Alligator mississippiensis: one gene and its partners. The protein of the gene in region 1 binds, or shares a complex with, the protein of each later gene. Links are inferred from orthologs where the notes say so. Each region holds a gene or a part of one and is shown in the gene's direction. Other genes may lie near its edges.

The links.
Region 2: the proteins of SPTSSA (region 1) and SPTLC2 are in contact, whole or in part, in a cryo-EM structure (PDB 7K0K), measured with the Homo sapiens proteins. The link is inferred for Alligator mississippiensis from reciprocal best matches to the Homo sapiens genes SPTSSA and SPTLC2. Residues at the interface, in NP_612145.2 of Homo sapiens: Trp15, Tyr18, Gln19, Leu21, Leu22, Val23, Thr24, Ala25, Tyr27, Met28, Leu29, Glu30, Pro31, Trp32, Glu33, Val36, Phe37; in NP_004854.1 of Homo sapiens: Leu73, Gly77, Val80, Leu81, Phe84, Leu87, Arg88, Leu91, Leu126, Arg129, Ile130, Tyr156, Met475, Pro476, Ala477, Lys478, Gly480, Ala481, Arg484, Glu485, Asp533, Leu534, Leu535, Gln536.
Region 3: SPTSSA (region 1) and SPTLC1 share a complex: the UniProt entries of both Homo sapiens proteins name them as parts of the serine palmitoyltransferase (SPT) complex. The link is inferred for Alligator mississippiensis from reciprocal best matches to the Homo sapiens genes SPTSSA and SPTLC1.
Region 4: SPTSSA (region 1) and SPTLC3 share a complex: the UniProt entries of both Homo sapiens proteins name them as parts of the serine palmitoyltransferase (SPT) complex. The link is inferred for Alligator mississippiensis from reciprocal best matches to the Homo sapiens genes SPTSSA and SPTLC3.

The regions. Positions count from the first base shown.
Region 1 is NC_081825.1:256,230,154-256,237,256, reverse strand, and holds the start of SPTSSA (serine palmitoyltransferase small subunit A), read left to right. Parts: upstream 1-4,093; 5' UTR 4,094-4,150; coding exon 4,151-4,253; intron 4,254-7,103. UniProt on the Homo sapiens protein: Component of the serine palmitoyltransferase multisubunit enzyme (SPT) that catalyzes the initial and rate-limiting step in sphingolipid biosynthesis by condensing L-serine and activated acyl-CoA (most commonly palmitoyl-CoA) to form long-chain bases.
Region 2 is NC_081825.1:263,321,077-263,328,586, reverse strand, and holds the start of SPTLC2 (serine palmitoyltransferase 2), read left to right. Parts: upstream 1-4,500; 5' UTR 4,501-4,515; coding exon 4,516-4,674; intron 4,675-4,683; exon of another isoform or gene 4,684-4,725; coding exon of another isoform or gene 4,726-4,833; intron 4,834-7,510. UniProt on the Homo sapiens protein: Component of the serine palmitoyltransferase multisubunit enzyme (SPT) that catalyzes the initial and rate-limiting step in sphingolipid biosynthesis by condensing L-serine and activated acyl-CoA (most commonly palmitoyl-CoA) to form long-chain bases.
Region 3 is NC_081826.1:213,094,622-213,101,662, reverse strand, and holds the start of SPTLC1 (serine palmitoyltransferase 1), read left to right. Parts: upstream 1-4,029; 5' UTR 4,030-4,079; coding exon 4,080-4,139; intron 4,140-6,890; coding exon 6,891-6,998; intron 6,999-7,041. UniProt on the Homo sapiens protein: Component of the serine palmitoyltransferase multisubunit enzyme (SPT) that catalyzes the initial and rate-limiting step in sphingolipid biosynthesis by condensing L-serine and activated acyl-CoA (most commonly palmitoyl-CoA) to form long-chain bases.
Region 4 is NC_081824.1:221,269,841-221,277,214, reverse strand, and holds the start of SPTLC3 (serine palmitoyltransferase 3), read left to right. Parts: upstream 1-4,357; 5' UTR 4,358-4,601; coding exon 4,602-4,706; intron 4,707-7,374. UniProt on the Homo sapiens protein: Component of the serine palmitoyltransferase multisubunit enzyme (SPT) that catalyzes the initial and rate-limiting step in sphingolipid biosynthesis by condensing L-serine and activated acyl-CoA (most commonly palmitoyl-CoA) to form long-chain bases.

The DNA.
Region 1 (7,103 bases):
GGATTTACTTAGCTATATTCCTTTCCTGATAACCTTTTCTGGTCCCTTTGGGTTGACTGACTGATGGGGAAACACTGCCTTATCTATGCTATGCTATATACATGAGAAAAATCATTTGCAGCTGTAGCAGAAGGGAGTATTACTTGGCAATAGTGTTGATTATTGTGCACTGAATCAGCTTCTATTGGATAGTTCACTTACTTTTGTGGTTTTTAATTATATTTTAACTAGGAGCTGTACCAGAACTATACACAGATGTTGCAGGCTATATTGGCTTCCCTGTTGCAAACCTGACAAATAATTGCATGAACAGTGTATGGTTTTGTGGTATGTTCTCTAGTCCACTGGCACTTTCATATGCTTACATATCAGGCCTTATGTTGCCCAGTATATTCTCACAGTCATTTACCTGGTTCATTTATTATCTGATTTGATTTGATTTATATGCCACTCTTCCCAACAAAGACTCAACCTGTTTACAATAAGAGGACAAAATTAATTATAAAGCAGGAGAATAAGCAAGAGAACAACATAACTTAAAAGACAAACTGGACCATTAAGATAAATCAGAACTGCTCTAACCAATATCCTAGCCTACCTCTGTCTGTTAAACACTTGCCCAAATAGAAAGGTCTTACAGCACCTTCTGAAAGATGTTCAGGCTCAGGCTCTGGCATACCAAAAGATGGGGGGAGTTCCAGAGCTGAGGAGCACCTGCTGAGAATAACATGCCAAATGTTTTTGCCAAGCAGACTTGGTGCATTGATGGTACTTGTAGGAGTTTGTTCTCAGCTGACCTTGGAGATTGCAGTTAGGTGCATGGGCAGTCCCTTGGATATGTTTAGGGCCTTACAGGGCAAAACCAGCACCTTGAATTATACCTGGAAATCTATTGGGAGCCAGTGCAGACTGGATCACTGGAGTTACATGCTCATGGAAGCCCATCCCTGTTAGGTGGGCTATCACTGCATGAACTGCAACTTCCAGATAGTCTTAAAGGGTAGTCTTATGTAGAGTGTGTTGCAGTAGTCTAACCTCAAGGTTACAAAGGCATAGATGATGGTAGCCAGATCTGAATCTGAAAGAAAGAGCCACCGCTTTCTCACCAGATGGAGTTGGTAAAAGGTGCTTCTAGGCACTGCTGTCACCTGAAGTTCCAAATGCAGGAGAGGATCCAGAGTACCCTAGGGCTGCAAACATGAGTGACAACAGGAGACTATATCCCATCAATGATAGATGTCCCAATCCCCCCAAAATTGCATGGTCTGCCCAATACCATCACTTCTGTCTTGTTTGCATTCAGCTTCAGCTGGCTCACTTCATCCAGTCCCTAACTGCAACCATGCTTCATGAAAGGAGTGAGATTGCTGGGTTTCGCTCAGATGAAGTAGAGAGAGGCTTAGTAACAGAAATTCATAACTACTGGACACTACAAAGCATGACCTTAACACAATGGTTTCATAGCTCATTTTAATTTACTGGGTCTCTGCTAACTCCTCTGTACTTCACAGGTAATAACAACAGTCTTATTTTTTTTTTTTTTTTTTTTTACATATTCAGGTTAATCTATTTCAACTCTTTTTATTTGGTCTGTAACTACTTTTGATAACTTCTGTTTGCTTCACAGAGTAAATGCCAGTTCTGTTTGCTTCATAATGCCAGTTCCCTTTGCTCCCTTTTTCTTTTTTCAAGTGATAGCTTCATTTACATAATAGGGTTAAACAAAAGTAATTGCTCTGCCTGGTATTTAGCTTAGGCTGTATCTGTTTCTTATGTACCCGAGGAAGGGCATTTTGTGCCTGAAAATTGGTCTAACATCTTTTCTCACCTATGTATGTGGTCTAATAAAAGATATTACCAAACAAATCTTGCTTCTCTCATTTTTTTTTTACTACAAAAGTGTGCTTTCAAATTCACTAACAGCAGCCACATAGTTTGCCAGCCTTTCAAGCAGCAATAGCATAAGAGTCATCTCAAGCAGCAGTTACACTAAGACAGTTCGGGGAGAGAAAATGTTTATATTCCCTTCTCTTAAAAGTGTTGATGTTCTCTGGACATTGCTTAGCAGTCTTAATGACTGAATGAAAAAGTTGGGAGAGTTGTTTCCATTGCTTGAGAGTAATTATACAATCATTCTTTTCAGTGGATGGATGCTTTACTTGCTGGTCCTATGAAAGGCAGTGTGTTTATCACATGCATTACTGTAGTATGAATAGGCTCTGGTGCTGCTTCACTGGACTTGGCCTGGTGGGCCTTGGACTCTCAATTTTATCTTCTTGTTCATTAGCTGATAGGCATTCTTTAATCATATTCACTGCAGGCTGAGCATCCTCTTTAGCATCCACTGGACAAGTTTCTTTTGGGAACCTTTGCCTGGTATTTTTGACCCTCTACTGTTTCCTCAAGCACTGAAATAAATTTGCATGGGTGAACCGAGTCTTAACCATACGTGCTAGTATTCTGGTAGAATCTACCTCCTTTTCAGGTACTACCATATATGCTAATGTAGTATTCAGTTGTTCCTTTGTATTGGAAATCTATCTGCCAAACCTATTTTCCCTTCATGGTTAGGTCCTAGATCTGTACTCTTGTTTTTCTGAGATGCATGAATACTTGACTCTTACCTGTCTTTATTTGCTTGGATAGCTAGCACTGAAGGAGCTGCCATATTTTTTAAGCAAATCAATTGTGAGAAAAGATTATTGTTCAGTCAGGAAGTGTGGGGGTGGCATGTAGAATAACTGCAGATACAGGAGTATATGGAAAGCCTAGGCCAGGGGATTTAAGTACCTGGGCCAAGGAGCTGCCTTCTGGCCTCAAAGGTTTCCAGTATACTTTGTAATGTCTGATTAAATTGCTAATTTGGATGATATAAAATGAAGTAACACAAGACTACACAGATCTGACCCAGGGCAGATATTATATTCAAAGTTAGCACCATGTTCATGCTGCTTCCACCTTTAGTCGGATTAAAAAAAATCAGTGGAAGCTGCAGAAACATGCAGAGGAACCTAATCTGGGTGAGCCAACAGCAAGTCTTGGGGATTCTGCAATTGTAGTAGTCTCTGGTTCTTTAAGACCTTTCAAAAGAAGTGAAGTCTAATGTGTTATATAGTCTCTCTCCATCCTGTTGCAGAGTGGTACCTATGGTTTCAGGGCATTAATAAAACTATGAGGAGACCCATGGGTGACTGGTACCTGCGGGGGGTACCCGCAGGTGCCACTGTTGGCGGCAGAGGCAGAGCTGGCGAGCTCCCGCAGGCGCCGGCAGTGCCAGCCTGTAAGGGGGTGGGAGGGAAGGCACGTGCCTCGGTGCCGCCCCCCCACCCCGGTCTCCCCTATGCGTCACCTGAGACCTGTCAGTGTTTAGGAACCCATGAGGAAGGTGGGGGCCAATTTTAATATTGCTACAACTTGTACATCTTTATGGTACAGATGCAAGGGTCCCACTTAGAAACTGGCAAGGTGTTGTATATTGTATCTACCAGAACCTGCCCAATACTTATAGGGGAACCCCCTACTTGGCATGGACAGGAGAGCCCTTTACTGATGCTTAGGGATATTTTAGGGCAGTGATTCTCAACCTTTTCAGGCTTGAGGCACTTCACGGAAATTGCCACCTTAGTTTTCATGTGTTTTTGACTACAGGAAAGTGTTAGAACAAGTCTTCTGTTGCAAACACCTCAGACAGGCCAGAAGGCTTTGAACGCCATGGGTTACTATGTGAATTTTCTTTTTTTAAAGAAATTTTTCATGTTCCCAGCCAAATCAAGTCCAAATCCAGGATCCTCCCATTTCCATAAAGTGGGCTTTAACCCCAACACCCCGGCGGTACTGAAGAACAGTTATCCCGGGGCCGCTTAAGGAAAACTGCCTTCCTGCACCCAGATACGCAGTGTTTCCCCTGCCGGTTAAGTGCGGTATGTCCCGTGAATCCTGGGGCCAACCCGGGAAGTGCCCCTCTCCAGGCACCCTGGGTGACCACCTCTGCTCTGGGGCCACGTGCAATGCCGCGGGGCCGCGTGACTGCAGTGACCCCGCCCCCTGGGAGGGGCAGTGGGGGCGGGGCGCTGGCCGGGCCGGGAGGGTGGGGGCGGCGCAGTGGCAGCCGCACGCGCAGGAGGTCGGGCAGTCGGTGGAGGCGCCCGCGATGGCGCTGGGCTCGGCCTGGCAGCGCGTGTCGTGGCTCTACTACCAGTACCTGCTCGTCACGGCGCTCTACATGCTGGAGCCCTGGGAGCGCACCGTCTTCAGTATCCTCTGGCGGCGCGGCGCGCTGACTTTGGGGGGGGCGCTGCCTCGGCAGGCGCCGGGGCCGGGCCGGGCCGGGCCGGGCTGGAGGTGGGGAGGTGCGCGAGCTCCGAGTGGCAGGCGAGGGCGGCCCCAGCCCCGCCGCTGCCTCGGCCTGGGCGGGAGAGAGGCGCCTCGCGAGGCCCCGGGCCCTGGGCTCTGCCCGCCTGGCCCCGCAACACTGCCCGCCGGCCTCTGTCTCTCCCTCGGAGGCGGCGGGGTGGGGGGGCTGGCGGCTGTCCTCGCGAGCCCGGGTTTCCGGCTGGGATTTTGTTTTCTTTTGTCATCCTCTGCCTGACAGCGGCCCGGCGGCCTGGGTGCTGCCTACAGACGGGAGGGGAGGATGGGGGACTTGACCCGGTTGTGCTGCTGGGAGCAAAGCTGGAGGCTCCTGGCTGGAGGGTCTTGCCCCTCTGCTGGGGCCCGGACCATCCCCCATGTTTGGGGTCAGGAAGAAACAAGTGGGATGTTGGCTGGTGGCTCCCTTGCCTTACTGCAGCAGGTCGGGGTGTTGGGTTGGTTTGTGTTGTGTCGGGGTTGAGGGTAGTCTCGCATAGAGTTTACATCGTGGTTGTATGGGCTGCTTTGGCTAGGGTTGATCCTGCCTCAGGACCTAGATGACCTCTAGAGGTCCCTTGCAGCCCAACTTCTCTATGACTTATCTTTTATTGGGCCAGCTATGTGGCTGGGATAAAGTCAGGCAAGCTTTCTTATGGAAGACATTGTTTGTCAGGTCTTGGAATATGGGAAGGCAAGCACAGCAAGCTCCCTACAGCATAAGGGAGGGGCTGAGAGAAGTGTTTGGGGGTAGCAGCCCCACAAGGAGCAAAGGAAAAGCTGTTGATCTTCCAGTACTCTGGCTTTCTTTTGCTCACTGTGTGGCTGCTACCCTTGAGCATGTCTTAGCTGATCTCAGCCCCTCTCTTGTGCTGGTCTCAGCTTGCTGTGCTTGGCTTCCTGTATTCAGAGACCTGAGGAAGAATACCTTGCACTGGAAAGCTTGCCTGACTTTATCCCAACCACATAGCCCAATAAAAGATAAGTCATAGAGAAGTTGGGCTGCAGGGGACCCCCAGAGGTCATCTAGGGCCTGAGGCAGGATCAACCCTAGCCAAACCAGCCCAAAGAAATCGGTACCTCTCTCATGATTTTTGGACTAGTGTGGCTACAACATCACTCTTTATGCTGTCTTTGGTAAACTCACTGGTCTTGTGTAATTCACTGCAGTTACTCTGCTGGCATGATGATTACGTAGAGACCCGTGTTTTCATTTCTTCCTAGAGAGTGCTGTGCTATCTTCTTCAGGGCTTAGTCCAGAATTTTTATACAGAGGCAGTTAGGTGATCCTTTGTTAGAATAACACTTTATTATTACAAGTTGCTCTTTAATGACCTTTAAAAGCATTTGCGCTAAGTATTATTAAAAAAAGCAGGGAGGGGAGGAGAAAATGTCATCTTGTCACCCATAATCTTTCCTCTGTTGACTAATTGGATGTCTTTATTGGGATGACAGTCTACAAAAATGCTTCCTCTAGTTAAAAAAAACAAAACCAAACAAATGAAAAAAACAAACCCCCCCAAACAAACCAAAAAACAAAAAACAGGTTGCAGCTATATAACCACATTAAATCTAAAAAAATGGACCGCATATAGATAGACTTCAGACCATTAGATAGATTTTCTGTTAGGTTCACATACATCCACATGATGTCTGTTTCACTTGTTTGTTAAGTGGGAGCGTCCTTCTATTTCTGTAGAAGAAAATTGCTCACAAGATACTTTCAAGGACAGGGAAAACTGATTAGTTCACTATGAAAATGAAGCAACAAAGTAGACTGCATAGGAAGTGTGCAAAAGAGTACTATATCATTACAAGTGTTAGTGATGAAACATCTTTCTTTAGTAAGTATATGCACATCATACTTTGTCAGTAGCTGGGCTTGACTCTCTTCTTCTCTTTGTGATGCAAGCAAAATGTTTGAGCGAATGAAAAATATGTACATTTTCCTTATTCTTTGGACAAATATGTAGTAAACTTAAGTAACTTATTAAGATATTTATAGTTTAAAATTAATTTGACAAACACCTTCCATTGTTCTTACTGCAGTTATGTCATTGCTGCTTATTCTAGGTTGCAGTTGCCCATCACCTTTTGTTGCTTTAGCAATGACTGTAAACTTTCTTAGAGTGAGCAAGCTGCAGCTTGTTTAACATCTGGAGAAATGCAATTTCTAATGCTTAGAGTCTAACCTCATTTTAAAAAGGAAGAATGCCCATGGTACAGCAAATCTTCACATGAAACTTGGAAAAAATTTAGTTTGTGGTATTTTTCCAGTGGACATGAGGTGGTTTGGGGGAGAATACTATATTGGCCGCCATCCTTTTTCAGGCCTTGGTCTCTCTAATTACTTCAGTAAGGTGGCTGATTGTGATTTAGACCCCTTAGGACAGGTACTGCCTGACATTGTTAACTTACTTCATATAAGCTGTTGAATGACTGCCAGATGCATGTTGAGATTGACCTCAGCTGTGTCTAAACCAGTGTTCTAGAAATTTAAAAGCTCTTCAGGTGTTGAAATCTCTTCAGGTATTTAAATTAAGTTCCTAGACTTGCTACAAAAACCTTTTCCAAAGCTGAATATATCATTGATTGTCTAAGAGATCAGTAATTTTTATGAAGGCTGCATCTGGTCTGCTCGGAGAGAGTCTGTTGATACAGCAGAGCTGTTGTTTTATGTTCCCTTGTACTCTTAAGTCTTTCTCCATCACTTTGTTTTCCTGTAATGTATACTTCAAAAAGCTTAGTATTTGTCT
Region 2 (7,510 bases), about 7.1 Mb from region 1:
CCACTCCCGGCTGGAGTGCTTGGCTGGCTGCAAACCTCTTCCACTCCTGGCCAGCTGCAACCCCCCCCCCCCCCAGCCAGAGTGCCTGGCTGGAGAGTACCCAAGCTGGCTGAGGGAATGAGGAGGTTTGCAGCCGGCCAGGCACTCTGGCCAGGAGGAGGGGTGGGGTTTGCAGCCTCCCCTGCTCCTCAGCCCCCAGCCAGCTTGGGCACTCTCTGGCCAGAGGAGGCAGTTTGCAGCTGGCCAGGCACTCCAGCCAGGAGCAGGAAGACTGCAAGCCCCCTCCCCCTCTCCCTCATCCCTCATCTGGAGTGCATGGCCAGCTGCAAACCCTGGGTTGCAAATGCTGCACTCCCCACTCTGCTGCCCTCCTGCAGGCCCTCCAGAGCACAGCATGTGCGACTAGCGCAGCAGGGCACAGCAGGGCCATGCACGAAAGCTGCTTGCCACTGCAAGCTCCACACTGCCCTGGCCACACTTTCTCTGTGTGCATGGGGACAGCACAGGATTGTGTCCCTCACTGCTGCCCCCGTCTGCAGAGGAAGTATGACCAGGGCAAAATGGAGCTTGCAGCAGCAGGCAGCTTTCATGCACATCCCCCCCCCGTGTGCTGTTGCACCGGGTTGCACACACTGAGCTCTGGAGGGCCTGGGGGAGGGCAGCAGAGTGGGAAGCATGAGCCTGAAGCCTGCACCGACCCTTCCCCCGCCCAGAGGTCCCCCCAGCCCCCCAGCTCCCCAGGAGTGCACAGGTCCCCCCAGCCCCCCAGGAGTGCACACTGCCAGGGGGAGTTTACCCCGCCCAGGCCTGCAGCAGGAAGGCAGCAGGGGGGGAACTGGCTTGTGCTCCTGCTGTAGCAGCTGCTGCCTTCCTTTGGGGGCAGAGCTGGGGGGCAGGGGCTGCAGGTGGGGGACAAGGGGCACAAGCAGGACTGGAGGGCTGTGGGCCGAGGGCAGTGAGGGACACCAACAGGGCTGTGGGGGGCATTTCATTTTAACCATGGATTTTGTGATTTTTATCAGAGAATTTGTGATTTTTTTATTGCGGAAAATCAGGGTCCCTGCTGATCAGAAGTGAGCCACAAGTGGGGCCCCTCCACCAATCAGTAGGGGGGAAAGGTATGGGGGAACCTGCAAGATTAAAGGAGCCACAGTGCACCCCACTTCTGCCATGAATTCAGTAGACCTCTAGCTATAACAAACAAAAGTAGTGAAAGCAGCCCTCTGCCCCTTTAAGAGGGCAAACCTTCCTTCACCCCTTGCATTGGCATACCTCCCGGCCTGTGCTCCCTGTGCACTCCCTGAGCCTCTGTGTTCCCACAGGCAGCCTCTCACCCCTGGGCAGCTCCTAACCCTGCAGCCAAGGTTAGACTATGTTGCCAGCCCAAGCCCCAGGCTTATATGCTCCCAGGGCCCAGCCTACTTCTGGTCAGCAGGCTGCCTGCAGGTGCCTAGTAATTGCCTCCCTGGTCTGTTGGCGCAGCAACCTGCACTTGCTGCCACAGCTGCCTGACTGGACTGCTTTTATCTTAAAGGAACAAGGAGCCCCGGGCTGTCTTACAAGGGCACGAAAGCAATGTCTGGTTCCACCCTATCTAGCAGTGTGGTTGGCCTGCAGAGCTTTACTATTGTGAGTCCCTAGCCAAACCCCAGGGCTATTTTCTCCCATACACGGTGCACTATTTCTCTCTTACATAGACATTTCAGTGACTGACCCACTCTTCTCTTCAATTTGACATTAATTTCTTCATTAACCCTTTGGTTTCTATAAAAGATGCCTCCTTTCAGCTGCTGTCCCATCTCTCACATTCTCTTCATCTGGAAGGGGGCTCAGAACTCTGCTGTGTTCCCTCCCCCACCACACCTCTTGCCCGCACATTTTCTGAGCAGCTATCCTGGTCCTTCTCAACACAGATGCTGAACACAGACATTCCCTGCTTTCATTGCAGCTTCTCTGTGTTTGACTTCCTGCCTGAGGAATGTGAGAGAGGAGATGGCTCACCCCACCAACGGCAGCGAGGGAAGGAGCACAGCCAGTGGGGATGGCAGATACATGTCACCTGGGGTAACTGGAAAAGTATTTCCACTGGTTTTCCCAACCCAAACCCAGCTCTTAATTCAGGCCTGAGAGGCCATGAGAAGCTTGAAAAGGGTCCAGAGGAGAGCCACACACATGGTTAGAGGACAAGAGAGCAGGCCTTATGAGGAGAGCCTGAGGGACGTGGGACTTTTCTGCCTGAAGAAGCGCAGGCTCAGGGATGACTTGGTGGCAGCCTATAAGTATATAAGGGGTGTGCATCAGGAACTGGGAGAACGTCTGTTCACCAGGGCACCTCACGGGAAGACAAGGTCTAATGGTCACAAACTGCTGGAAGACCGTTTTAGACTGGACATAAGGAAAACTTGTTTACTGTCCAAGCCCCCTGGGCCTGGAACAGACTTCCCCCAGAGGTGGTGCAAGCACCTACTCTGGACACTTTCAAGAAGCACTTGGATGTCTATTTTGCTGGGATCCTTTGACCCCAGCTGACTTTCTGGCCCTTGGGCAGGGGGCTGGACCTGATGATCTTGCGAGGTCCCTTCCAGCCCTAATGTCTATGAATCTTTGTGAGTTGCCAGCCTGCCACACAGAAACCAAGCTTTGGGTTGGGCAGGACGGGGCCCAGGCTCCTTTAGGAGAGCCCCTGATTGCAGAGGTGTGTGGTTTGGGGTGAATTGAAAAGGATTTTGCCTCATAATCCCAGCCTAATCCCAGGTTTTTTTTCCAGGGCTATGGATTTGAAACATGATATTATTGTGTGTCGAGCTGGCTGGCAGTGACCTAGCCCAGGGGTTTTGAAAAGGCAAAAGATGATTGGAGGATTTGGGATTCCCTTTCCTCACCAATCTGGTAATGATTTGGCCCAGGGGTTTTGAAGGGGTAAAAGATGATTGGAAGATTTGGGATTCCCTTTCCTCACCAATCAGGCCCCAGAGACTCACCCCTCATGTCCCCTGATTGGCCCCTTGGGTCACCTGGAGGGGGATAAAAGGGGCAGCACAGCTGACTCAGGCAAGAGACGAGTGAGGGACCATGAGGAAGGAGCTTCAAAAAGCTGAGCCAGAGGGGTAGAAGCAGGCAGTAGTTGGACCCTTAGCAGCATGGCGTGTGACTGGCAGGAGAAGCTTCCTGTTGGGCTCCAGGATCCCCTACAAGAGGCTGTGGCCAGCAGGAGAGGCTTCCCGCTTCAGCAAGAATCTGAGCAGCGACCTGAGGGGTTCTCAGCTCAGCTTCCAGCTCCTCCAATCAGAGATCAGGCTGCTCAATGTGAGGCCAGGGCTCCAGGAAGGTCAAGGCCCCTAGCAGCTTGAAATAGTCCTAGTACTGGTAGCTGTGTGGCAAGTGTTTGTGCCTACCACATAGGAGATCCAAGTTCAACTCTCAGTTTTGGTGACTTGGGGTGAATGACCTACCAAGGAAAAATTCCTCTTGCAATGGAAAGGGGCCATTGTGTTTTCCATTTTCTCCCTTTCCAGGTACCTAGGCCCTATATTTCTTGGTCCTTTGACATTTTGTATTTTGTGCCTTTTTATATTTCCCCAACCAGTATTGTTTGCTCTGTTTGTTTTATATTTTGTTAAACCTGACTTTTTATCAATGATTGTAAGTGTCTAACCTTTGTTGAATACTGCCCCCTTGGGGCATTGTAGTGTCCACTCTACCCGCTGATTATGCCTGTTATGTTCCCAGTATTGTTCTCTCATTAAAAGGTATATGGTTAAGTCCCCAGTGGTGGTCTGGCTCTGCTCTATAGGGAAAGGAGAGTCCCTACACCTCCCACAGCACTTGTGCACCTGCTTTGATCCTTTCAATTGGAGAGGGGTACCTTATGGAGTACCGCCTGGGCTACAATTGTATAAAGTTATTAGTAAATACACATTTTTGATGAAATCCTAACTGTAGCAGGTGCAATTAATTACTAACAACTTTTCATTGTGTAAAGATTTAACTTTGCAAAACGAACCAAAACCGGAAACAAGGAACCAACTTCAGCGTGGTGAGCCATGGAGAATCCACCTTGCCCCGGCCCGCGGAACTCCCCTTCAGTCATGGGGCCCCATGGCTCATGCGGGTTTGCCAGGCCCCAGGAGCAGGCGGTGGCCAGGATGAGCCGGCCCCCGCGCCCCCCTTCCCCACTCCCGCCCCGCTTCTCTGTCGGCCCGCCCGACAGGGGGCGCTACAAGCCTCGAGCAGTCCCGCGCCCACAGCGGTTCAGAGCGCACCCGGCTCACGCCCGGCTGCCGAACCCGCCCACCGCTGCCTCTCGGCCTTGTCATTGGCTAGCATTTATTTTGGGCTCCGGATCCTTCCTCGTCCTTTCTGTTGTCACTGGCCAAAGCGTCTTTCGCATCCCGCCCACCCCTACGCCTTCGCCTTGCGACTGGGTAGGCCATCATCTCCACCCAGTCGGTTCCCAACCAGATGATTGGGCCCCTCCCGCCGGCTTTCTGCCTCGGGATTGGGCGTGCCTCATCGATGACTCGCCCTCCCTCGGCCTGGGACACCGTAATCTCATTGGGCGGCGGGCCTGAGGCGCCACCGCCTCGCTCTGGGCGCCGCCGACACTTTCAGGGTTTCGGGGGCAGCGGTCACGCCCGTGGTGACGTTGCCGCTCGCGATTGGCGGCGCGCTCGGGTAGGGCTTCCGGTGCGGGGCGGCAGCTGCAGCGGCGGCGGCGGCGCGAGGATGGAGCGGGCTGGCGGCGAGGCGCGCGCTAACGGCTGCAGCGTCGCGGCGCACGGGGCGCTGCGCAACGGCTACGTGCGCGGCCTGCCCGTTGTGGCTGGCACACAGGTGCGCGGGGCAGGGGTCCGCGCCGGGGCGCGGGCAGCTTGGCTTGGGCTGGTGCCACGAGGCCCCGCGCTCCCGGTCGGGAGTGGGCCTCCCTCCCTCCTTCCCCCTTCATACCGACATGATCAGGTCGGGCCAGGCCCCGGGGGCGTCGCTGAGATAGGGCCAAGCCCTCGCCTGCTGGAGCCCTGCGGCCCGTCTCCTCCCCCGCCTCGGGGCACCCGGGCCGGGCTGGGGCAGGCGCACGTGGGCGTCTGTTGCAGCCCCGGGTTTGGCCTCAGTGGGAGGCTGTGCCAGCTCCCCCCCACCGTTGGGTTGGCACCGGGGCCGTGGAGGAGGAAAGCCATGAGTCCTTCCAGTGCAGTGTCTGTTTGCCTTGTTGCCCTGGTGTTGGTATTGCGGGCACCACCGGGTACATCAGGTTGTCCCCAGGTGCCCCCTGCGCTAGGCAGCACCACTGCCTTGTGAGGACCGTGTCAGCTGGCTAGAGCCAGTGCCTGTCCAGGTGTCACTGGGACTTCGTGGCTGTAGCAGAGAGTCCTGTTGGCTACTGGTGCGGTTCTTATGCTAAGGTTAAAGTACCAAGTGTGGCAGCGAGTAGAGAGCTGGAGGGTTAAGATGGATGTGAGAAGAACTCCTCTTTTCAGGCAGATTGAGCTTCTCACAGCCTTCTGCGGGAAGCAAGAGGCATCAACTGGCACATCTTGTGCAGTGGTTCTGATGTGTTCTGGTGACGTCCTCCCCAGCCCCAGCGTACCTGTCTTGCAGGAGGGAATCTGTGATTACCATGCTGACCAGCATCAACCAGGAGGAAGGACTGTCATTACTTTAGTGTGGGAATACGTGGAGTGTCTTTTCTTGTTAAGGGATGAGATTTAATTATGTACCTGGCAACTGTCATCTTTCCTCCGAATGCAGCTGTAGCTGGGGGAGAATGTAGGAATTGCTTAACAGTGATCAGCAGTCATGTAGTGATTTTGGAACAGAAAGCAAAGGATTTGTCAGCATCAGCTAAGTGAAGTTGCTGATTTAAAGTGCAAATTGGTGAAATGGACTGAGAAATGAATTAGGAACTTATGGGCCTTTTGCTTTCGGTAGAAAGGAAAAGTAAGGGAAGCTAGAGAAAACGATAGCTGAAAATAATTGTTTCTGCTTTGTGATGCCTTAGCCACAGTGGTTCTCAGCCTTATTGGATTCCAGGTACCCCTCCAGAACTCTTGTGAATTGAATGGCATCCAACTTCAAAAACTAATTATTCATATTTCAGTTCTTGCCTCCTTATACAGGGCCTGGGCAATAAGTGCAGGGCATCATCCAGGCAGGGACAAGCCTGAACTTGGCTTATCTGCTTAGCTTACCTGCATATCTCCCCACACTTCATGGTACCATTGAAAGGACCTAGTGGGACCTTGCAGTGCCCTGGCATCCTGGTTGAGAATCTTTGCTTTAGCACTGTGACTTGTGGGACTACATCTCTACATTCAAGGATAAAGCATGACCGAACACTTTGCTAGCGTGTCTACAAAAATAAGTTTATATAAGACTAATTAAATGGGGAAGTTTTGGGGAAAGGTGTGGAGGTGATGTGAGAAATGATCATGGTAATGGCAGGCACTTTGCCCATCTAGAGTTGCCAGCCTAGCAACTCACAGCCCCTCAGGCCTGAATTAGGAGCTGGGTGTCCCTTTCTTCCCCAGCTTCCCTTCTGTGCTTTCTTTATGGGTTTTGTTTGTTTTAGCTTATGAAGTTTTGATTTGACGTGTATGGTACCTAGCATAAGGAGGCCTCACTGTGCTGCAGCAGTATAAAGAATGTTGTATGATTTTAAAAATGTGTGCGTGCGTATGCTTGCTTGTCCTATTCAGTAGTTCATTTTTGAGGGTGTTTTAAAGGGGATGGCACAGTCTGTATTTTGGGACACTTGGGTAATGCTTTTGGGAGGGGTTTTTGTGGCCTGAAGTTAATGAGGTAGAGTTGGGAGAAATGTATCCCTTTAATTTAGGCAAGTGTTGTTCAGAACTGCTGTTCAGGGTATTCCTGGCAGTTAACAGTGCCAGAGGAAGTAAAATGTATTGGATGTACTTTTCCAAATTGTTTTATTCCAGAAGGAATCTTTATTTTACAATATCAGAATTGCATCGGCTTCATTATGTAAGGGTGACTCCAGACTTCTGTTGCTATCAAGACATGCAGAAAGAATCATAGGATGCTAAACAATACAGCCTTGTGTTCCCTTCTATGGTTTGCTTGGCTTGGGGTTTGTGAAAGGCATGAAGTTCCCTTTACTTGATTTTCTTTAAGTGGATATTATGCTGAAGGAGGGGAAAATGGTAAGCTTCTTGGTATATATAATCAGTAAAAACTTTTAGTATGCCATTTTCCTAAAGGCACACTTTGGAATGAAATAATTAAGCTGAAGAATTCTAACTGGAATACTTGTTATTCAGTGGTGCTCTGTACTAAAAACAGAACAAAATCCCACTGGTTATTTCAGCTTTGCAAAATTGTCATTTAAAACTTGCTGACTCAAGCACAGTCTTTCTGCCCATGTTTTACTGCAATGGGAAGAAAAATCTCTGATGTTTTACCTGTTAGAAGTGGGTGGGTGTACTTGATGGCATTTTGCAAAGCTGAGACCTGTTTGAAATAATGATTCAGGTTCAGCTGCAACCCAACAATT
Region 3 (7,041 bases), on another chromosome or scaffold:
TAGAGGCTAGTTTGAGTGGGAGGACTATCCACCCCTCTTGTTGAAGCAGTGCAGCAAAATGTGAAAGATTCATTGGCATAGAGAGGGGATTGTGTCTCTGTTACCTGTAGGGTGACCACCCATCCTTAATTAGGCGGGACAGTCCCGAAATGTAAACATCAAGTCCTGGTCCCAGGCTGAATGACTCCCAAGACAGCATTTGTTCCAGACTCCCCTCAACACAATCTCAACATAGCAACTATCATCCCAGTATCGTAAGCATGGATCTGGGTTTTCTGTTTGCCATGGAAAAAAGTGGATTTTCTCCTCTGAAGGTTTCCCCTTGCAGGTTGGCAGAGTTTCAGCCTGCAGGGGGCTGCTTGGGGCTGGGGGGGAGTGGGACACAGGGGATGCGACATGCATGTGTGTGTATGTACACATGCTCATGTCCAGCAATTCATCCAGGTAGCAGTGGAGAGCAGTTCCCCCAGCTGCCTTCAGGTAAGTCTATGGAGGGACGGGGCATAGGTGATGTGGCAATGGGGGCAGCTTGAGGCCCCCAAGGTTAGGGAGGGAGGGGCAGGGTTGGTGGCTGGGACTGGGAGCTCTACCCAGCTGGGGTGGTGCATGGGGCATAGGACCAGGGCAGGAATGTGTAGCTGCAGGTCCTGGCCAGGGAGCAGGACAGAGCCATAGGTGACTCATCTGGAGGGCAGTGTGGGGGCTGACTCTCCACCGCTTCATACACTCCCAGGGCAGGGGGCATAGGAGAGCTTGTGCCCCACATCTGATGTGTGTGTGTGGCACAGGCAGATGCAGGCTGCCTGCTGTGGGCTTGGGGCTCCCCATCCTGCTGCGGGCTTGGGGCTCCCCATCCTGCTGCCCTCCCCCAGTGGGTGAGACCCGGTACAGAAGGGCAGTGTGGATGGAGCGGGGAGGCTCGATGTCCTAATTTTGCATTTTGAAAAGGTTGTTGTTAGAACATTTACCTATTTAAGGCACGAGTCCTAGATCCTGGTTTCCGCTGCCACAATGGTTCATGCATTTTATAGTCAGTCACTGGATAAAATATGGAAATATTTCAGGGAGCAGGGGCCAGACCCCATCTCAGCCACTCCTAAACATGAGGCTACAGAGATCCTCCGTGACTCCTTCCTGGCCCCACACATCTAGAAATCTTTGCCACACAGTAACACAGCTTCAGCTAAAGCTTAGAGTGTTCCCAACCTGATTAACCTATAGCCTGGTTCTTAGGACTCTCTCCTGGGAGGTGAACTGTGTAGATTTGAATACCCTCAGACTAAGAGCCTAGGATCCAGACCTCACAATTTCTGGGCGAGTATAATTGCTGTCTAGTGGGTGAGCAGTCATTCACTTCTAAAGTGGACAATTTAGGTGTCCAACTCCAAGAGATTGTTCCAGGTTGCAAATCCCAACCTGACATAGTTGCCCAAACACCAGAGAGGCTTGGGATTTAAGACACCTCTCTCTTTCTCAAGCATTTCCTACTGGCTTGCTACCCCCTTGGCATGCTGACTGTTGCAAATTCTATTGAAACACCTTCCTCCCCACATGCACCATATAGTAAGCTGCAATACTAACCCAGTGGTGTTGACTGTTCCAGGGACCAATATTTAAAAAATAAGTGGTGACACACATATCCCTTTGCAGATCTAACTCTCAGTGCATACCCTGAACAGGGAACCAAGTTGGCTACATACAATAGGACTCAACATCCCAAGCACTCAGTTGAGCCCTCCTCTCCACAAAATCATGAAGTTACAATAATGTCAGGGTTGCTGTAGTTTATGCCAGTCTATCACTACCAAAGAAGCAATTATGCAGGTGAGCCACTGCTACTAGGCAGCATATGCTGACCAGTATGCCTCCTCCTTGCAATCTACTCCCTGTTCCTGAGGAAGCTGAGTGGTTAGTCAGACCCTCAGTTGCCTGGTTAGGGCAGCTTTTGGCCACCAGCGTTTGCCCAAAGCTACTTTATTCAAGGTTAGGGATAATCCTTGCTTAACAAAAGTAATGTGTAGTAGCAGAGTTTCAGATTATATTAGATTTAGTCTTCAGCCCATTTAAATGATCTGAACAGTAAGTCACTCTTCCTGCTATCAGTAGAGTTGTGAAATTTGAGATTATATTTATTTCTTAAGACTCATTCATTCTTTGCAAACAAGTGTCCTTCTACTATTATTATGGAAATGTTGGCTGTATGCCAAAAGTAACCTCCCAACAGAGTTAGGACATCTTTGAGTAGAGTTAGGACATCTTTGTGCTCAATGCCAGCATCTGCTTGGCTGAATGCCAAACTTTCAATTGAACTCAATCATAGGGTCTACAGATTAAGTTCACTCCTCCTCTCGGTCACTGCAGATTTGTGCTTTATCTTGGCAAGTTTGAAGAGAAGTTGGACAGACTACTACAGAGTCTTATGCCACGTCTCCTTCCTGTATGCCAGTTGCTTAGCAAAGTGCAAATTTAAACTGGTTCAGTTAATATTAGAGGCTGCAGACAGAAGCGCAGCTGTGAGCTGTAACTCGGAACGAGTTTTGCAAAGCATTTTGAGTTATAGCGCTACCCCTACCCCAGACCAAACAGAAGTTCACTATTGGTTCCAGTGGGGGCCTGCAGCCAAGTTCCCACAGTAACCGCCAGGGCTCTCTGCCAAACACGAGTGCATGGCTGCAGACAGCTTCAGGTGAAAATCTGACCCTCCCCATTGAATGAGGTATCAGATAAAGATGTTTCAAAATGCATCATCTTTTGTAACTTGTCTGCCCTGCCTCCCAGCCTGTCACTGTTTTCCTCATGCAATGAGGGGTCAGATTTTCACTGGAAGCCGTCTGCAGCTGCGCACTTGTGTTTGGCCACAGCTATAAACTGTTTTCTGGCATCAGATCAGGCAAAAATTATTACTTGTCTGCACCCAGAATCCAACCCTAGTTGTTTTTTCCCCCCCCTTTTTTTCTAAACAGTTCTTATGGCAAGGTGCATTTTGCTGGTTATCATTGGCAACTGGTGCCACCTGAGTCAGGGGGGGCATCTGCCTCCCCCCCAGTGACCAGTCAGTGACCAGAGGGGGGTGGGGACCGGGCCATGTCCGATCTCACCTATGGGGGGGAGGGGAGTCCCCCCGCAGCCAACTGCACCACTTGGGAGGCAGCCGCGGTGCTCCCAGAAGTGACTGCGGCGCTTCATCCAGTGCTCCTACTCCCCAGCGGACACTTGCGGGGATGGGGGGGGCACCGGCGCTCTTGCCTGCCTGTCGCCTAAGCAGGGAGTGCGGCCATCAAACGGTACATGCCCTACATGTCACCTCTGCTGGTTATGAGCAGCTGACCCTGTTGAAAGTTAATAACCTGCCAGGTGAATCCCTTCACAGCTGGCAGGAGATGCTCTTTGCCATCTCCTCCCAACTCCAGGTCCTTGCAGCCATCTGCCTCTTCCACAACGTACCTGCTTTTGAATCGATCACGATTAACCAGTGCATTTGGGGGGCTGGGCTAGCCATTTTATCCTGTGACAATTACTTTTGCACCCGTGGCTGCTTTAAACTTATCCCGTGATGAACCTGTGACTTGCGTAATACCGACCACACATTACATTTATCACGTGACTGGGGAACCAGGCAGTACATTTAGACCGGCCACAGGTGCAAAGCAATGGGCAAAGGATAAATAAAAAAACCCACCCTAGCCCAACCAAAAGAGCCGCTGAAGGGGTGACGAGGGCTTTGCAGGGGTAAAATAAACACAGTTATTGCGCGACTGAGCAGCTAGCTACGCTATGTAGGTGAGGTTTAGCAGGAGCTTGAGGGCGGCGGCAGGGAAGGAGCAGCACACGGAACCGGCCGACTAGGCTGCGCTGCCCCGCCACGGGGACCGTTGGAAGCATCCCAGATCAACACCCGCTTACCCCGGCCTGAGCCTTCCGTCGCCTCCGGACAATGGCACCTCCCACTTGGGCGGGGAGGGGGCGTGGCCCCGGGTTCCGGTCCCACCCTCCCCTTCCTCCGCCTGCCGCGCTGTGCGCATGCGCGCTGGCTCGGCGCCGGCGCACTGACGAGGGAAGGAAGTGGCCCCGGAAGCGGGATGGCGGCGGCGATGGGGCAGCAGTGGGTGCTGGTGGAGATGGTGCAGGCGTTCTACGAGGTGAGCGACCCCTCCGCCCGGGGCACGTGGCGTCGGCCCCCCTCCCCTCACGCACTCGTCTGGGGCGGGGGCGGGGGCGGGAGCGGGAGCGGCGTTGCTTGGGGTTGCCCGGTGGGTCCGCGTGCGGGCATCTCGTGGGGAGGGCATCGGGGTGCTGGGGTCTGGGGGGCAGTAGAAGTGGGTGCTAGCGTCTGGGGCAGCTGGATCTGAGTGCTGGCACCGAGGGGGGAATGTATATAGGTGCTGGCACCTGGGGAAAAATGGATCTGGGTGCGGGCACCTGGGGGGGACCAGACCCTCCTAGTGCCACCATCGGGGGAGGGGGGCGTGCTGCATGCTGTCACCGGGGGGGGAGCAGCTGGGTGCTAGCATCTTTTGCGGGATGCAGTTGGGTGCTGGCCCATGGGGGAAATGGAGCTGGGTGCCAGCATCCCAAAGTGGGCGGGGGTGCCTCTGGGTGCTGGCACACCAGGGGATGGATCTGGGTCCCGGCATCTGGGGAGAATGGATCTGGGTGCCTGTGTCTGGGGGGGCATGCGTCTGGGTGCTGGCACCGGGAGGGGGGGGAGCTGGGTGCTGGCATGTGGTGGGCATAGATCTGGGTGTTGGTACCAGGGGTGGGGGGTGGATCTGGATGCTGGCCCCTGGGCAGGGGTGGATTTGGGTGCTAACTGGGGGGGATGCATCTGAATGCTGTTGTCTGCAGAGATGGGGCTGGGTGCTGGTGTCTGGGGGGAGTGGATCTGGGTGCAGGGTTATTGTTGGTGGGGAATTCCTTTCCTGCAATTTTATGTCCATTGGAGAAACAAGGTTGTTTTTTTCAGTGGGAGGCACAGGCCCAGGGTTCAGAAACAGGCTGAGGAGGTTGTTACCTCTGGGCTCTGATCCCTTGTGGAGTAGGGATGCAGCTAACTTGCTTTCTGAGGATGGACTCTTACCTTCCCTACTGGCTATGAAGTGAGAACTTCTCCCTAGAGAAGCAGCAACAATGGCGCCTCTTATTTTAATTAGTGTTGAACGCTGCTCCCTCATTTCTGTCTTGGTTATTTCTGAAAGGCTCTTTAAGACCATTTAATAAGAAGCAGGAATATACAGTTTGTATCAGAAGGTCGACATGGACATGTTTTTACTTGCAGCTGGCAATTTTCAAAGCAAGTTCTCTTTAAGTGAAGCACTGAGATGCTTTAAATTTTTTTGACTTTGGAACCTCCTCCCTGCACAATCCATGAAAAAAAAAATGTATTTACCTCTGTGATTTTAAGTCTTATTCTGATGACTTCAGGTTAGAGGAAGATTGCAGTTGCAGAATAACTGGTGGCAAAACGTGTGTACAAAATACACTTGGATTCCTAGGAAGTGTCATGTCACTTAGCTGATAGGAGGGGGAGCTTCCCTTTTAATTTTTTCTGTTCATATTTCCTTGCCAGTTTGAATCTGTAGTCTCTCAGCTGTTAAGAAGTAAGGCAAGTTCACTTGCACAGTTCTGTGCTGCAGTAACTATCCTGAGAACAGTAGCTGAACTAGCTCAGATATATATATGCTGTAAGTGTGTGCAAAGCAGGCCCTATTCAGTTCAGATTCGGCCCAAATCAGGGACCGTGTTTCAATTCGTTGATTCAGATCACTGTCCCCAATTCAATTCGGCCAAATCTGAATCTGAAGATTCAATGCTGATTCAGAGAATCAGCGATTTGGATATAGACACAGCTTTAAATGTTTTTTCTGCATACCTCGAGGTACCAGCATGGCTGGTGAATGCTGTGATGCTGGGGCACCTGGAAAGTCCTGCAGGAATGCGGGGGTGGGGGCCCTCCACGTGCTCAGCAGTGAACCCAGAAGTGGACCGGAAGTATTTCCAGTCCACTTCCGGGTCCTCTGGGGAGTGCGTAGGGGGGGACCCCGTGCTTCCTTGGCTTGGTGATTGGTCATAGGGAGACCCTGGGTGTCCCCCGGCCCAGGAGGCACCAGTCGCTGAGCCAGGGCGGGCGTGGGGGTAGCCCTCTGCATGCTCCTCAGTGGACCTGGTCCACTTCCGGGTCTCCTGCCGAGTGCGCTGGGGACCCCCCTGTGCTTCTGTGGAACAATCCATGCACCCCAGCATCACGGCATTCAAGAGCCGCCTGGTACCTTGAGGTACGTAGAAAAAACATTTAAAGCTGTGTCTATGTCCAAATCTTCAAATCTCTCCAAATCAATTTGGAGAGTTTTGATTAGATTTGGAGAGAGTAAATGGTCCTTTGATTCGATTTGGAGATTAGGCCACCAGACTGGGCCGAATCTCTGCCAAATCAAATAATGGCTTTGCACAGCTCTAATATGCTGTATTGTAATATACAGCTTAGCTTCATGGTTGAAATAAGTAATGTTCTTCAAATGTTAATTTGCATCATTGTGATGTAACATGCAATACAGAAGCCCTTACTGCAATCTTTGTAGGGGTATAATAGCTGTGGATGATTACTTCCTTTGCTTCTGTGTGTGTGTTACTTTCCATTTCCTTCATTTCTTTTTCATAGAAAACTGTAAAAGACTTTGGAAATGGTTACATGGAGTAGGTATAAATTTTGTTTAAACATAATTGTTCACAACATAACTTGCTAATACAAAATAGTTAAGTCAGTGTTGCTATTGTTCTTTTATGTGCTGCCCTTTCTAACAGAGGCTTACGGCAGCTTACAAAGAGAATGCAGCTATTACTAGCATAACCTATTCCAAGTTAATATTATATAAACATTATTTTTTTATGTGTAGGCTCCGGCTTACCACCTCATTCTGGAAGGAATTCTCATCCTATGGATAATAAGACTACTTTTCTCGAAAACTTATAAGCTTCAAGAACGATCTGACCTCACACCTAAGGTATGTTGTAAAATATTATTTTTGATCTTCGATTTGTTTTTTC
Region 4 (7,374 bases), on another chromosome or scaffold:
AGATACACACAAATCCATATAATGGTCCGCAATGGTGGAAGAAGTAGGTCGAAGCAAGTGTCTCAGTCCATATAGAGTCTCATCGCAGGGGTCTTCTTCAGGTGGAGCGGGGTGATCCATTGCTGAAGAGTCCTCTCAAAGTGAAGTCCATCAGGTGCAGAGGGGGCTTCAGGTGGTCCCCTCTGGGTCCAGTCCGGCGGCAGTCGGTCTGGTGGAGTCAGAGTACTAACAGTGGCCCGTGATGTGCTCCACGTAGATGTCGCGGGACCAGCAGATTGTGTCAGACACCATGAGGCAGCGCATCAGCTTGGCATAGTGGCAGGAGATGCGGCAGGCATGCAGGACGCTCTCGTTGCTGGGGTCCCAGGCTTCAAGCGTTCCCACGCTGAGTGCGTCGACTGTCACATCATAGCTGCGGCCCCTCAGGATGTTGGCCAGAGAGGCGTACTTCTCCCACTTGCGAGCCTGGGCATTGGTGAAGATTTGGCACTGGTTCTCGAAGGGGATGGTCACATCCATGATCACAACCTTCTTGGCCTCTTCCTTGGTGATCACAATGTCAGGGCGTATCTGGCTCTCGCAGCCTGGGATGGTGCGGTTCACGGAGATCTCTCCCACTGCGGCTGGGATAGGCGTCATCAGGCAGTCCTGGACAGCGTTGTGGCAGAGCCGCCAGGCTAGCCTGCAGCCGCACAGCATATGGGGGAGGGTGTCTGCCGCATAGCCACACCATTGGCACCTCTTGTCCTGGTGGCCAAAGCGGACAGCCCCGTTCAGAGGCAGGCAGTTGAGGCGGGCACAATGGAAGAAACACCAGTCCACGAAGTGTGTGAAGCTCCTGCTGGGTATGAAGTGGTTGCTGGAGTCCCACTTCGAGGTGATGTCGAAGACCTTGCCCTGGTCAGGTTTGGCCCTCAGGTCACCGGCATACTTGTTTCGGATGGCATCCTTCAGGAACTGCTCCAGGAAGGTCCTCATGTGGGGCATCATGGTAACATGGTCGGCATGCGGGGCTGGTTCAAGGGAGACTCACAGCTCCCAGCACTCCTCGGTCCAGGTCCAGGTGCAGCCGATGCACTTTCTGAGGCAGCACCTGGTGTTGCAGGCTCGGCTCCACAGCAAGGCAAAGTCCCCACCATCTCTGCCGAACTCACCCTCTAGCAAGCCACTGAGGAAGGTGGCCAAGTCATGTCCAGTCGAGTGTCTCACGATCCTCTTATAGGCGGTCTCCTTGAGGGTGCTGGTGGTGATACTTAACGTAGGGTCCGGCAGGTCAGGAGGCAGAAGGCGTGGGTGACCACTGCAATGTCGCAGAGGTCTCCCATGGTGGGGGGCATTGGCACCTCCCTGCCAGTAGGGGATGTGCATGATCTCGTTGCTGGCCCTCAGCGGCAGGTGCAGCCACTTCTTCAGCAGCCACCGGATCTCAGCGTCCACCTTCTTGAGGTGGGTCTTGGGGACACATGACATCTATCATGTCACCTAATGGAAGGTGTCTCAGATACAATAGTGAAAATATAGAATATTCTGGCCCAAATGCAAGCTCAGAAACAGCAGAAGAGTTTGTTTTTGGCTCTAAACAGTGCCCAAGGACAGCATATTTTCTTAGGTCAGTCATACAACAGAGGTCTATGTTTGCTGGTACCTCTTATGAAGCAACTTTGTCAGGACACTAGTTTGCTGGTAGGAATGGATGCACAGAATGACTTGTGCGAGGGTTTGCTTGGCACAGGAAGAACAGGTGTATTTAATTCTTGTCAACTTGTCATAGCACTCATTTATGTAGGATACTACCAGTGATGCATTTGCAAGGAAACTATAGGCTATTACTAAACTTTTATCCTTAATCACTCTTCCTTCCAAATATCCAACTCTCAGCCACTTACTGTAACTAAACTCAATCATCCCATCCTCGCACACTAACAATTACCCTATTAACAAACACTAAAGATACCTGTTTGACTGGCCTGATGAAGACAATACAAAAGATTGAAATGAGGCAGTGTTGTTCAGTATTGTGAGGCAAAAACCAGGAACTGAACTGTATTTCTGACTCACTGTGTGATTACATTTCCTAATAAGTTCTAATAACACTTATTATAAGTATTACATCATTCGGCTATGGGTTTTTTCTGTAAGAAAGGTTTTTACTGTCCTACTAGTGCTGGGGAAGTAGGTAAAAGGTTGCTTGTAAAGAAAAAATCATACTTCTGCAGGAGGGAGGGTGGCTTAGATATTTGCTACTTTGTGATATAACACAGACCCTGAAGGAGTGCTATTTTTGTACTGATTAGTGACCTACTGTGAACTATATGATCAGTTGGATAGCTAGCTAGTAGGATTCTGATGTATCACAGAAGTGAAATCTACCTAATTGAAACAAGGAAGTGAGTTTGAAGGCTAGAATTAGGGGCTTACAAGTAGCAATTGTCAATCTAAACAAGTGACTTTAGGGAGAAAAGGTTTCTTTGTTAATGATTCCACACTGATCCTCATCATTCCACTTAGTTACAAAAAGTCCCAATACAAAATTGGATCCTTCCAAGGAATCAGAAAATATGGTTTGATATTCCTGATAGTTAAAAGGACAAAATAAAACCAGTACCATTGAGGCTTTCCTTATGTATTATGATGAAATAAAAGATTTCAAAACCCTTGTTTCATGATTATTTTCCTTTGTAAGCTACCTAGAAAGAGGAAATATGGTTTAGCATTTTAGCAAATAATCAAGAGAAGTCAGCCTGGTGAAAACTGGTCTACAGCAGATTTACAGTCTGGTTAATTTGATCTTTATTGCCTGTGTTTGCTTTGCATTCTCAGGCGGAACTGTGTTTTCCGAATTGTAACTTACATCATGCTGCTGAGATCGGATAGCAAGTTCTTATTCTATTTTTAACTTTTTCTGCTTAAACACTTCAAAGACCTCTACTGATTAGCCTTCAGTCTTTAATTATCTTTGTAACTCAGATTTTCTTTTAATCTAACCCCTTGTATAGAGTGTTTTTATTGGAATATACACTCACTTGTGTGTGTATATTCTCATCCCATCTCATACAACCAAATGTCGATTGTATATTCTGAACATCTAAACTATAAGGCCCTTATCCTGCAAAAACACGCTTAATTTTAAGCCTACAGTTATTCCCATTCAGGTCAATGAGCCCCAGCCCTGTGAGTACACATGAAACTAATGCCATTTAGGCCTACATGTAAGTGATTTGGGGTTAAATTTAAAATAAGCTTATAGCCTTAATCAGGAGTGTCAAACTGGGCTGTTCCCCCAATCTGGATTCAGAAATGGTGGCAACAGCAGACAAGCAGTAGCAGCATGGAGGTTAACAGGCCATCACTTCCCTCTCTCTTTCCCTCGCTGCTGCCAACACATCTCCAACAGGGCTCTATATTCAGGAATTCGGCACCTTGGCAACAGTCTCCAGTCCTGAAATCCCAGCCCTTTCAGGAGCCTTGCAAACTGGATGAAACAGCTCTGCAGACTGGATCTTTAACATTCCTGCTCTAATTGGACCTAACTTTTACAAGACTTTTTTTTTACTTCAGTAAATTCAAATGCATAGCAGTTTGTTATATCCTATTATTGGCAAAGCTCAAGCAATTAAGCCCTCTCTCCTAAAAGAAAAGCCATAGACCAACTGTAATAAAAGTTTGTCTCACTAAAAATGAAAGACTTGATTCAAGGTATCTTGATGATGAAAATATAATAATAGTTTTCTTTTGAAGGCTTAATCGTCATGCTAAAGGTTAGCAGAAGTCCCACTCTCCATACACTTGTGAATTTGTTAACTGCTGTGTCATTTTGATTTCAGAAGAATTTTTCACAGTATTCAAATTAAGCATGTGTTTAGGTGTGTGCAGGACTGGGGCCAAAAAACTCTTTGCTAGCCCCAGACTCTAATACTAATTAACTTCTGAAACCAGGACTAGATTACTCTTAAAATTCATCATCTACCTGTAGACAGTCTTACTGCCCCTTTTCTGTACATTCTTAATGCTGTGTCTATCAATATATTGATTTAGGAATTTTAAAAAAATCATGCCTCCTATCCCGACAGTCAAATACTACTTTTTCCAACACACATATTTAAGGAAGCATTAGAATTGCACAGCTTTCCTTACTGTTTTAATTTTCAACCTTTTACTAATCCACTCCAAGCAGAGAATAATCTATCACTTCTTTGAGTGTAATCTACAAGAGACAGGGATTTAGATGGCAGTGTATCTTTAAGTGTCTCCACCTCTCAATCCACCCACTTCCTTGATAGCTGCAGCAGTCTTGTTGACTCACATAAATACCATGTGTATACAGTAGCCAGCAGGAGTAGTGCATTTTGGAGTTCTTAAAAGCAAAGTAGTACCATGTATTTGACTTCCTAACTCACTAGGGCTGAAGGTGTATAAAGGTAACAGTTTCTTTTAGTTTCTAAGATCTTGCAGAAAGATAGTCCCTCCTCTCCTGGAAAAGCCAGACTAACCAGTTAGATACCTTTCTGGCTTTAACACATGAGATTTTATCTTCTCATCCCACTGCCTTTTTAAAGTAGAAAGACCTCAGGCACTTACGAACTGAAGATCATACTAAGCAAATGGCTAATCCCAAAGCTGTCTGCAATGGACATTACCATCAGAAACAGAATAACCTCTTAAAAAGTGGAATCTATAAGAAAAATGGAATTGCTAAACAAATTAAGGTAAGGTTTAATTTCCTGAAGTCTGCCAATCATTGAGATGAACAGTTTTAAACTTATTTAAAGGAATGGATTGTCACTGAATGGATATTACAGTATTGTCTTTATGTTAAGCTTGACACGTGCAGCATGAGCCTGTATTCTTATTAACCCCTAAAGTTCTGGTTGAAGTAAAAAAGATATTTGGGTGTGTAGGCAATAGTATTGATCTAACTAGATTCTGTTCTTCAGATCAGAAACAGAAATATCTCATTTACCTGAAAATTGTTTAAAGCCTTTCTGTTGGCAGAACTGTAGAAATGTATCAATAACTTAAAGCAAAAGGGTTTTATCCTTGAAGTGTATGTGGAGTTTTATTTTATTATGATGTGTTACTGTTTAAGTGCAATGTAAGAAAAAACAAGAAATAGGAAGGAGATGCTTTTTTTACCTGATGATTCTATTGTTTGTTATAAGGTTGGCATAGTGTCTAGTTTACTGGGGCATGCTCTATAGGCTTAATAATCTGTCCTTTTTATTTACATGTTGTTACAGTGTTAGCTGCTCTTTAAAAAATAAGTTAGTCTACAGGAAATTCTCTCAAGCTGTTTCTTTTTTTTCCTGCATCTTTGAAAGCCATCTCTCATTGACCCAAATGCCTGACTATAGCTCATTTGATGTTTGTAGTTTCCCAAAAGAGAACCCCAAAACTAGAGCGGCTCTTTTGCAAAAGAGAACTCCAAGCAGAAAATTATCTTTATGCATAGAACATTAAAAGCTGTCTCTATGGAAGAGCCCATTACTATTGGAAAAATCTTTTGGCTCTTCAAATTCAAGCTGTGCTGGCTTTGAGAATGCATATGAATTGATGTAACCAACACTTCAGTTGGGAACAGGAAAAGATTGCCTTTAAAGCTGGATGCTTCACGCCTCAACCACAACATCTAGCAACACTAGCTTGTGTTTGAATGCTTATCTGACAGTTTATTAACTTAAATTGTCTAGTCCTAAAACTTTAGACAGTGCCTATGCCTGTTCCAATTGCCAGACTCAGATGCATCACAAATAAGCTCTCATCTTGAGTCTTTTTCTCCTAATGGGAATCTCATGCTTTCAGCCTGTTAATTAAGGCACACCCAATGCAAAGGTTAGTTAGTGATTGTCTGGCTTCAGGACTCTAGCATGGGTGGCTCCTAGTTGCTGGCCCAGCCCATGTGTGGAAAGATGATGGCAAGAAAGCTTGTGCAATGAAGGAAAAGTCATATCATGCTCCCAGGAACCATATCTGAAATCACAGTCATCACTTTGGATATTAAAAGTCATGCTGTTTATCCTGAAATGTATACTTTTAGGACCAATCACCAATATTCCAGTTTCTATTTTATCAACCTGAAATAGTTAACCTACTGGGAAAAGAATGAAAACTTGTGACAGTAGTAATTTCAGAGGAGAGAAAAAGATTATATAGTAATAACAATGTATTTATTATTATTGCTGCTGCTGTTGCTACTATTAGGATTGTAGCTAGAAAAATAGAGAAATGTGTATTTGACAGTACACAAAAAAAAAAAATATAGGCTTGTGCTGGAGGGGGTGGGAATGGCCTTGAAGGGATAGTTAACTGATCCATCCACAAATCGTTGTGGAATAAAAGGAGACTTTATTTTTCTTTTGTGGTACAGACACATTATATTACAGAACGCTTAGATCTTGTAACACTCAGAGATAGGAAAGCATCATCCTCAGTGTAAACTGGAAATGAATGGTTGAATTTTTTATTCCGAGGTCATCACTGAACTTGTAAGTGTGCAGGTCTCCTGATTCTCAGTCTGGTGCTCTATTCACAATCCCAATCTCCTTCCTTCACTTCTTGCTTGAAGCACAGATTGGAAGGGAAAGGAACAAAAACAGGTGAGAGCTCATTCTTGTTTCTGCTAGGAATCTGCCCTTTCCTGTCTGGTCTGCCTCTTCACTCTCACCTACCCCAACCCAGTACATGATTTGTTATTTTTGTTCTATCTCTTTTTCCAGATATTTGTCCTCCACACATGGAGTGGCTTCCACTCCGGCTTTATCTGCCCATCTATCTATAATATTTACATTACCACATCAGTGTATTAATTGAGCACCTCACAGATTTCAGTGTATTGTCCCTAGCAAATATCTTCCTTAAATGGAAAAACACTTTAAATGGAGGGGAAATTAACGGACAGAGAGGAGGGTAGAGCAGAAACTGAACCAAAACCAGAAACAAAACACCCACACTTCTCTGCTTGACTATTCATGAATGAATAGTGGGTGTGGGAGTGCTCAAGTTACCTACTACTTTTCTGTAGTACAGAGCTTCTGTTACTGTAGCTAATCAACAGAACTCCACCATGAAGATGTAGCATATGCTGACAAAAAGGAGCTTTCAGCTGATTTAGCTACACTGCCTCCAACAAAGCCCTTCTCTATCTGCAGAACTGTATCTATGGTGGGGGCTTAGACACCCTAGTGTGGTTCTGTTCCACCCTACTTGAGTCCCTGAACAACAATAAATGCAAAAGGTAAATGGGTTCTCGCTGCTTTTTTGTGACCCAGGGCCACGTCTTGCCTGTGCCACAAGGAAGTGGCAAAAGTTACAGCTGCAACCGAAAAGCATGCAAAGGTGACTCCAACCGGCAGCTCTCTCCTTTCTGCCTCTGACTTC